Caenorhabditis elegans: one gene and its partner. The protein of the gene in region 2 interacts with the protein of the main gene of each other region in a pairwise test. Each region holds a gene or a part of one and is shown on either strand. Other genes may lie near its edges.

Region 1 (3,685 bases), on a different chromosome or scaffold from region 2:
GCAATTGTAGTGCCTTGGTGCTTTGATTAGTTCAGTTTGTGGAACATCAAAGTGAGTAAGTAGTTTGAGCCACTGGGGATTTTGTAAACACATTAGCTTAAAAGTACTATTCCTAATTTAGAGTTGTTTCCTACAGTAATATCATTCCAAAATTACAATTTTATAAAATACAGTATTTATGATTTTTGATCGACCATTACATAAAGAATAACCTGTCATATTATTTTTATTGCCAAAATAATTATTACTCAAGTTTTTCTAATCTCGGGAATATTTATATAATTAGAAGCTAAATGTTGCCAAAAGCTTGACCTACCAAAATAGATTGCAAATCGAGTCCTCGCATTTTGAGAACTTCCAAAGTTTGATTGTAGATGTTAACTTGAATATAAGTTGACATTTTTCAGTAAATACCAACTTGTCGAGTTGCAAAGCAGGAATGAATCAATGACACAGCTGGGCAGACCACAAAGTAAGAGACTCGAAACGCAGACGGTTCTAAGCAGCGCCGACTCACTCCTTCTTTTGCATTATATCTTGTGTCTCACTCGTGCGTTCTTGCCCTGTGTGTTTTCGCTCTCTGCATTTTTCTCTCTATTTTGTAGTTTGCGTTGGACGCCGAAATGTAGTCATGTTGTAGACTACAACATATAAGTGGAGGAATATTTATCAGATTACCGGGATGGTAAAACAATTTCAGAGGGGAAGAGGATACGAATAAGTTAAAATAAAATGAGATAGATACTGCAATAATTAATCCTCACGAAGTGGCAGGAACTTTACGACGACTGGCTTTCCGGCTTCAGCGATGACCAAGTGAATTTTGTCTCCAGTAGAGATTTCACGCTCAGCAGCACCACGGAACGAATCCTAGAAAAAATAAATGAATTAGGTTAAAATTACGAAATTCAATTATACCTTCATCAATGAGATGGCTCTGTCCAATGTGAGTTCCGGACGCTCATATCCTTCAGAGAGCGTAACGTGCCCGATTTGACAATCCAAGAATGGAATGATCATTGGTTCAGCGGCTCCACTGGCTGAGTATCCAAGACGCTCGATACATCCGATTGGGTCGTAACTGAACACGGCCCCTTTTCCGTGCTCGTCAATTCCGGCAAGAATAGCTCCAGTGTAGTATGGGAAGAACCGACGGTAATAGAGGTTGCGGGAGAGAAGTTCTGCGCAAAGATCCACAGACATGTCAGAGCGATAATCGAAGCGGTACTTGTGGAGACGAGATTGGAGAACTTTCTTCAATTGGAGGACATCTCCATAGAATCCAGAGGTGGTGAGGATGATGTTATCATTCCTGAATTAAGAATTATTATTAAAACAAAGACAAATACTGGCTTACAAAATTTGAATCTTCTCTGCGTCACGTGTAAGAATGTTGATGTCGTTTTGGGTCATTCTAGTATCACTTGCCACGATGGCAAAGTTCTCCCCAGAAATGGCACAGGTTGATCCTCCCTCCATTGAATACGGGTTCCAGCGTTGACGCTCAATTTGTCTGGAACTCATCCACTCTGGATGAGCTGCAACTTCCTTCATTGCCTGCTTGAACATTGCCATTTCATTGGTGGCGTTGGCGACAGCCGTGATTCCAGTGAAGCTTGTCATCTGAAAAAGGCGTATACTTATTTAGTTGAAACAATATAAATATTCAATATGACAAAATTCAATTAATACAGAAAACAAATGCTCGAAATTTGAGAATTCAACATAACAGGAAATGCTGACAATGAGAGACATCGTCATTTACAATGTTTAGTCCGCAGTTTTCTGCGCGTTCAAATGCACATCGCACATCGAACTATACGACACTTTGCTGAAATTTATTGAAACGCGTTTTCCTCTCTTTTTTGAATGAAAATTCATTTTTCCAAGGTATTTTTGAGGACAATTCATCGCTTTATCTACATTTCTGATTAAAATTTTTGTGATTTCTTTTTTTCAATAATTGATATTTCAGATGGCAGATTTCACAGAGCAAACTTTGCGACAGAAGTTAACAAATTTATCAAACCACCCTTCCTCAATTCAGACGACTTCTGCCTGGCTTTTGCAAAATCATAGCAATCGGGAATTGATCATTCGAGTTTGGCTAAAGGTATTTTATTCATATTGTATCATTTTTTAGTGTTGTATTTCAGACAGTAAAGAAAGAAACACACGGCTCAAAAATTGTAAATCTTCTTTATGTGGCGAATGATGTAAGCCAAAATGCGAGAAAGACTTGCCCACAATTCAAGGACGAATTTTTTCCCGCAATAGAAAGTTCTTTCAGGTATTGGCATTTTCAAACGTCTAATCTCAAAATTAATTTCAGGCATGCAATCGAGTTGAAAAATGCAAAAGAAGTGGAACATGCAATTGGTAAACTGATCAATGTATGGAAAGATCGTCAGATATTCACTCCATCACAATGCAAACGGCTTCATGAAGTTCATCAACAAGTTAAGCTATCTGGAAGCTTCCCAACACCCGCAGTTGCGAACAAGGAACATGGAAAGGTGTGTGAATTTAATAAATTCCAAAAGAATGCCAAAATGAGCTTAAGGTCGCTCAACCTAGTCAGTTCGTCGTTGAAGAAGCGAAAAAGAATGCACAAGATGTTTTGCTCAGTTTGAAGCGCCTTCAAAACCCGCCGAGCACGGAAAGAGAAATTCGCACAGAACTTTCAAAATATCCGGATAATATTTCGTGCCCAGAAAAGTTGCAGTCAGTTCGAAGTTCGCAAGAAGCACAGTCTCTGTTGGTCCAAAATGAAGAAGCTCTTCCGATGCTGGAGGAATATGTTAAAAGGTTTGATTGAAACTTTTGTGAATTGATTTTGTACATTAACTTATGCTTTCAGGCTGAAAAACGAGACAAATGAACGCGAAACTCTCGAATCGAACTTGAATATGCTTATAGAAAATGTTAGAATGAGCATTGAACATCACGAGAAATTGTGCAGAGAAGTTAAGCGTAGAGAAGATCGAATCAAGGCAGATTTGTTAGAGGTTTGAAAACTAGAAAATCAGTTTTTGCAGACTTGAATTGAATTTCAGGTTGAAAAAACATTCGAATCGTTGCCAGATTTGGCTGCTGAGATGCCAAATGCACCATTGCCAACACTTGAAGCTTTGTTCGAGAAGAGGAAAAAATAAGTATCATACTACGTCATAATTATAACTTTACGATCTCAGTAGCTTTTACTGTACCCCCATTGTTGTATAATTTTTGTTCACTTTGATCTTTTACAATCGTGATCACCATTACCACATAAGTGCTTTATACGTTTTTCTTCTGAACCACCTTAAATGAATTTATTTTTTCTAAAATTCAAGTTAGTTCTATTATCTGAAAACGGTTCTTAACCAGTGTTTATCTCTGAAAGTTTGAAATTAATTGTTTAAAAGCTGATATTTTACAGATGGGTATTCTGGAGAAAATTGCAGAAATCGAACATGAAATTTCAAGAACCCAAAAGAATAAAGCCACTGAATACCATTTGGGTCTTCTAAAAGCAAAGTTGGCAAAATATCGTCAACAATTGTTAGAACCAACAGGCAAAGGAGGTGCCAAAGGAGAAGGATTCGATGTAATGAAAAGTGGAGATGCGAGAGTTGCAATGGTTGGATTTCCTTCCGTCGGAAAATCGACTCTATTGTCCTCAATGACTTCCACTCACTCAGAA
Region 2 (6,648 bases):
GAAGTTCTACGAAATGAGTATGCTGCCAGAATAAAGCCTGAAATACCTGAAGATTCATTGGGCGGTAAAGTAGGCAAGCAGGGAACATCGGGAGTTGCAAGAATTCGGGCACCAAAACGTGCAAATGCGAAATTGGTTGAAGTGAAACGAGAACAAATCCCACAAACTTCTGCTCCGATAACTGCTTCCCAAATGTAAGTGAAGATTTTTGTTTTTTTCTTCAATTAAAAATTATTAAATTATTCAGTGACGAATCATTCACATCGCCTGCGAACAAGAAGAACAGAAAATCGGCCAGCGTAGTTGAAGTGAAACCTCGAATCAGTGATGAATGGGCCAACAAACTGCACGCATGGCATGGACAAGTCGAGGCTACGGATAAACATTTGAAAAAGTTGACAAGTCAAATTAAGCTGGAAGTTATTGAAGACGAAGAAACATAATCATTTCATTTTCCTTGCTAACCATTTTTTTTAATGAAAATTATACTACATGAATTTTTTTTTTGAAAATTAAATTAAATTTGCTGCTGAGTTGCCTATCATCTCCGACTTTTGTTATTTTATTAATCTCTGTTGGTTCAATCTTTTCAATCTTATACTTTTATCTGTCCAACTTCCAATTATCACCAGTGATAAATCGCCGCAAAAGACCAATTGAAATGGCCTGATATCGTGCATTACATGATTATTTCATACAGTTATCATCTTGTGCTGTAGCCCATTCGTGAAAGCATTGAGTGCACTTTTCAGAATCTTGTTGTAGTTCTACTGAAAATTGGTTTTAATCCTATAGGATAAAATTTTCGTTTGTGATGGGAAGGCAGTATTGAGAAATTGTGGTTTTCGTTTGAAAACGTACTATGCTAAAGTTCTCTTCAAATGACGATTAGTTCAAGGTCTTGCTTAGTTTCCCATTCTTTCTTGAGATACTATCAAATAGTAACTATCTACGACTTTCTTACTTATCCTTTTTTTCTAGAACGCATCCGTATTTTCTCAGTTACTCTTGCACCAAATAACTTATATGACTGCAGATATCAGAAAATATTTAATATGTTATAAAAACTACAAAAAAAAAATTTTGTTTTGAGAAAACAACAGAATTTTCAAAGTTGAATAATAGAGCAAATACCTAAATGCTAAATTTCGCTGTTTAAAAATTACGGTACCCGGTCTCGAAACGGCCAATAATTTTCAGTGAAAGGAGAGGAGTGCGGTTTTAAGGAGTACCGTTGTTCAATTTTTCTTAGTTTTCACACTCACTGTTTATTAAAAATTGAAGCTTAAAAAACAGGAAACGATAAAAAACTAAGAAATCAGCAAACTGCTGAAACTACTGTACTCTTTAAAGGCGTACACTTGTTTTTGTTGACATATTTTTAATCGTGTCAGGTACCGTACAACATGGCACTGGCATCTCCATATAAACATCACTGCATAAGACAAACAAAGAGAAGTTCCACGTTGAACTATTTGGCAAATTTTTGGCAAAACATTATTGTTGTTGCCCCGATAACAACCCAACCAAATCGTTCACAGGTCATCATGCACCAAAATATTGTTAATACTCATTTGTTATCAAATTAAAAGACTTCCCCACTCACTTTTTCTGCTTCAAATACCGCTATTTTCAAAAAATGTTTCGATTTATCTTTTTTGTCTTTTGTAAGAATCCGATTTCTATGAAGGAATCGGCGCCCCGCTGAGAATGTGTATTGCTTCATGTATGCAAAAGTGCACTGAGTGCCACGACGAACGCTTTAGTGAGAGAACGAGAGACCCAGCATGCTATGTTCCTTCTATATAAATATTGAACAAAACAAGTGGTTTTATGCCAGAAGCACGTTTGTTTCTCATTTTCTTGTCATTTTTGCTTAGATTAAGAACATTTAGCGGACATTGATAGTTCTATGACTTCTCTTTTTTCCAATTTACCAACCGTTTGCCACCTTAACGCTCCGCCCTTTTCTCTGATTGTATAAAAGAATCGGACTTAATACGAGCAAATTTCAGTCGGTGAATCTCATCAAACAACGGATTCGTGGTTCCCGACAGAGAATAACTACGGTTAAAACGAACCAAGGAAAATGACGAATACTGGAGAAACTAAAGTTATTGAATCTCATGGAACCATTAAGAAGATCGATTCTCTGTCCACAATGCCATATTGGTAGGTTCTTTATATTAATCTTCTAAACTTAGAGCATCTTTTTATGTCTCAAAATGCTTTTAAAAAAAGCACTGAAATATGCCTCCTTTCTACCAATTCTACCTACTTGACCTCTATCTTATCAGAAGACATGTCTACCACCCATTTGTCCCACTGCGATCACAAACTGATCTCTTATCAGTGTCAACTGTTGGATACCATTGATATTCACGTGATTTGGGCATTTTTATATTGTTGAGAGTGAAAACCTTTCAAAAAAAAAATACAATTTCTGTTCAATTTCAAGAACTTGAAATTTTCAAAAAAAAAGCACGCTGATTATGGCTAAAGTTAGAATGTTTAGTTAAAAAAAAAGAAACATATGAGAAAATGCAGAAAATGACCTGAAAGTTGCCAATTACCGAAAAACAAAGCTTGATAATTCGACAATCGGCAATTTGCAACTTCCAAGTAATTTTTAAGCACTTTTTCAAAATTATCATCCGAAGTAAACTATATTTACAGCTAAATCGATTGATTTCCTATATTTTAAAACTAATTTTTAACGAAAAATGTCGGAGAAACATGGTGCATTTATATACTAGAATTGTCCAAAATATTTGCAAGTTGCAACCTTTTGAATCACAAATAGTATTTTTTTCAAAAATGAGCTAATTGACTTTTAGAAACATAGTAATTACTTATCGTTGCTAATGATTTCATCTCTTATCACCCCACAATATCTTATCAATGAAGGTGAACACGGCAGAGTACAAAACGTGTCTATTATCAGAAAAAAGTTTGTTAGTCCTCTGCGACACATTATTCTCTCTGCACTCGGAAAAGATCGAATACTGATCTATCAAATTTAAATCTAACCGTGTTTTCTTGCCTTCTAGGAGACAATTTGATCAGTATCTCTCTATTAAGTGGAACAAAAGACACCAAGCAAGAAATTTCCAAGGAAAAATACAGGGAAATAATTTATTCGATCCGAAATTTCAAACAAGAAAAAGCTAATATATCATTGATGATAGTGAATTATTATTTCGATGTAGCACTGTATTAGTTCAACATCAGCTTTTTGTTTTCCGAAGTTCTGAAAAATTTGAAAAAAAGTACTTTCCTACTGTGTCAGTATCAAAGAACAAGTTGTCCAAATCATAATTGTTACGTTCCTAGATCTCTCCCGAGATTCATATCGAATCACATGATGATTCTGGAGAAGATATATAACACTCCGCCCTTAGAATCCTGTTTGCCACATTTCTTCATTTGTCGCTAACAAATTTTGTTTCCTCGGAGACTCTAGTTGAAATGGCCGTTTTAAGTAAAAAGTGGGTTGTTGATTCAGGTTTTTTGATCGAATAATATAATATTTTGAATTTCAGTGGTGTTGAGACCGATGAGAATGCGGTTGTCGAGGAGAAGATAACTCTGGAATCTGGAAAGAGCTGGTCACCAAAGTAAGTTTTGATCAGATATAAAGCTATTACTAAACAAATTTATATTTCAGGCATTATGAACTTCTTCACGAGAGAATTGAACGTCTTATCGATGAGAAACAACAATTCTTCTCTCTTGAATTCTTCCCACCTCGATTTGTCAATGGAGTTCCAAACTTCTTAGAGCGTGTTGAACGTCTTTCCGAAGGTGGATCCGTCTTTGTCGATATGACATGGCATATGGGAAGTGATCCAGCTAACGTCGATAAAGTGACTTCATCGTCTTCGATTGCTGCTTCAATGCTTGATTATTGTGGAGTCGACACTATGTTGCATATGACTTGTGTTCAATACAATAAAGCTGATACTTTGAAACATCTCGAGCAAGCCAAGGCAATGGGATTGAGAAGTATTCTTGCTTTGAGAGGAGATCTCCCACCGGGCGTAAGTTAATCATGAAACAAGATTGTCAAAAAATTAAATAATATTTTTCAATTTTAGACTGAGCTCGAAGATACCCATCAATTCCGTGCACTTGATATGATCCGCTGGATCCGCGAAGAATATGGAAACTACTTCTCAATTGGTTGCGCAGGATATCCTCTTGGACATCCACAAGCTCCGTCTTACAAAGCTGATCTTATGTACTTGAAGGCAAAATGTGATGCTGGAGCAAACTTCGTCATTACTCAATTATTCTTTGAGGCTGAAACTTTCGAAAAGTTTGTGCGCGACTGCCGTGAAATTGGAATCACTCAGCCAATTATTCCGGGAATCATGCCAATTATGGGTTATGAGTCTATCAAACGTATTGCCAAACTCTCACAACTTGAGATTCCACAACATATTCTTGATGATCTCGAACCAATCAAGCACGATGATGATGCTGTTCAAAAGTACGGAACAGAGCGTTGCATTGAAATGTGCCGCCGTCTTCTTGACAATGGAACTGCCCCTTCCATCCATCTATACACTATGAATCGTGAAGGAAGTATTCGTGAAATTCTCAAATCTCTTGGTCTCTGGAAACTCGAGGGTGATCGTGTTTTCCCATGGAAAAATCGTTCGCAACATCCTATCAGATGTCTGGAAAGTGTTCGTCCAATTTACTGGAGTTTCCGCCCACGCAGTTACATCACCAGAACTCGTGATTGGGATCAATTCCCTAACGGAAGATGGGGAAACAGTTCATCGCCAGCATTTGGAGATGTCAGCAGCTACTACTTGTCTAATTTGACGGTTCGTTCAAAGATTGTGTTAGAACTTTCTCACAGATAAAATTTCAGACTGTTCGAAACGCCGATGACCGTCTAGCTATGTTCGGAGCCAACATCGAGAGTTTTGAAGACGTCAAGCGCGTGTTCATCAACTACATTACTCAAGCTCCAAACGCCGATGGCGTCAAGGTTACTGTACTTCCATGGACAGAAGCTGAAACTGGTGTTCAGCCAGAAACTTCATTGATCAGTGAACAACTTGTTTGGTGTAATGAGAATGGAATTCTGACCGTCAACAGTCAGCCATCAGTTAATGGAGCTCCATCCACTGATCCACTTGTTGGGTGGGGAAAACCAGGAGGTTACTGCTACCAAAAGGCATACCTCGAATGCTTCATGACCGCGGAGTTGTCCGACAAGCTCATTCAAATCATCGAGAGAGAATTCCCAGTCAGAGTTAACTACCATGCCATCAATAAGGATGTATGTTTAAAAAGTAATTTTAAAAACCATAAAATAAATTCTTCTTCAGAGTACCTTCGACAAGACCAACAGCGAAGAAACCACTCCGATTGCAGTTACTTGGGGAGTATTCCCAGGATCTGAGATTGCCCAGCCAACAGTCGTCGATCCACTCTCTTTCCGCGCATGGAGAGATGAAGCTTACCAAATGTGGATGGCCCAATGGTAAGGTATCTAATCACTCGTTCTGTCTAATTGTTTAATTTTAGGGGAGATTTTTATCCAAAAGAATCTAAATCATATGGAGTCATCAAGGCTGTTCATGATGAGTTCCGTTTGGTTACTCTCGTCGACAACGACTTCCAGAAGCCATCAGTTCTTTTCGACGTACTTCAAAAGGCCCTCGACGAGCTGAAAAAGTAAAAATCATCAAACTAATTTGACTTTTTGACACGTCTGATTTCAATTCATTCAATTTTCCACCACGATATTCACTTCCGTTGATGAAATACACCATTGGTTGGGACACTTCCCCTTATTCTCTATTACCAGTATTACCCTATTAAGTTTTAGCTTCAACAACCCCCGATTCAAAATCGCTCCCTCTTTTATTTTATTTATTTCCGGCTTCCTTGTTTAATAAAATATCAATAATCAAGAAATCTTCATCTAGTTGAATAAATGCTAAAGTTCAAGTATTAGACGGACTCAGTGGGATGATCATCAGACGGATTATCAAGTACAACACGCGAAAGCTCTGTCTCATTCTTCTCTTCTTTTGGTGGACGGAGCATCGAATGCTGAAATTAAAAAACAAATTGAAGATTAATTTAATTAAGTTTTAAATTACCTCACGGCACTGAGTTCCATCAAGACGAGTAATTTGTTGCAAGAGATGAATAACCTTTCCACGATAAGTATCCACTGATGCAATTGGATTGAAATCGAGGTAAACACTATTGAGTTGTGGAAGTTCAACCAATTCATCCATAATGCTCCAGTTATCCAACTAAAATTAACAAAGAATTGATTAGTTATGGAATGTAATCAAATGATCTATATTACCTTATTTCCTCTTGCCCAAAAGTCTGTAAGTGTCTTCAATTGATGGATATTCTCGACCTTCTCAAGACGATTCTGATTGAAATCCAGAATTTCAAGAGGAAGATGCTCATCGATTCCACAAACGTACTTGATGCCATTTTGAGCCAGATAAATCTCTTTCAAGTTGTGAAGTCCCGAAATGTTCTGAAATTTTGTTTTATAAGTGGTATTTAGAAAGAAGAAATAACTATACATCAACTACAGTAATCGCATTGGCTGGAAGACTGAGAACTGTGAGCTTCTTCAAATGATCAACATTTTCAATAAGA

The links.
Region 1: the proteins of mthf-1 (region 2) and pbs-6 interact in a two-hybrid assay, tested with the Caenorhabditis elegans proteins (3 studies listed by BioGRID).

Annotation. Positions count from the first base shown.
Region 1 is NC_003281.10:8,242,470-8,246,154, forward strand, and holds pbs-6 (Proteasome subunit beta type-1), read right to left. Parts: upstream 1,624-3,685; coding exon 1,358-1,623; intron 1,313-1,357; coding exon 919-1,312; intron 871-918; coding exon 754-870; 3' UTR 653-753; downstream 1-652. Other genes in the region: Putative zinc finger protein C02F5.12, read right to left, coding at 317-400; cids-1 (CID domain-containing protein 1), read left to right, coding at 1,976-2,113, 2,157-2,290, 2,333-2,516, 2,564-2,808, 2,861-3,008, 3,057-3,155; putative GTP-binding protein C02F5.3, read left to right, coding at 3,422-3,685. UniProt on the Caenorhabditis elegans protein: Non-catalytic component of the proteasome, a multicatalytic proteinase complex which is characterized by its ability to cleave peptides with Arg, Phe, Tyr, Leu, and Glu adjacent to the leaving group at neutral or slightly basic pH.
Region 2 is NC_003280.10:7,773,191-7,779,838, reverse strand, and holds mthf-1 (putative methylenetetrahydrofolate reductase (NADPH)), read left to right. Parts: upstream 1-2,015; 5' UTR 2,016-2,089; coding exon 2,090-2,172; intron 2,173-3,333; exon of another isoform or gene 3,334-3,468; coding exon of another isoform or gene 3,469-3,488; intron 3,489-3,542; coding exon 3,543-3,617; intron 3,618-3,667; coding exon 3,668-4,040; intron 4,041-4,097; coding exon 4,098-4,835; intron 4,836-4,882; coding exon 4,883-5,296; intron 5,297-5,345; coding exon 5,346-5,500; intron 5,501-5,544; coding exon 5,545-5,698; 3' UTR 5,699-5,931; downstream 5,932-6,648. Other genes in the region: snpc-1.1 (snRNA-activating protein complex subunit 1), read left to right, coding at 1-194, 248-443; C06A8.6 (U2A'/phosphoprotein 32 family A C-terminal domain-containing protein), read right to left, coding at 5,974-6,075, 6,126-6,284, 6,341-6,523, 6,573-6,648.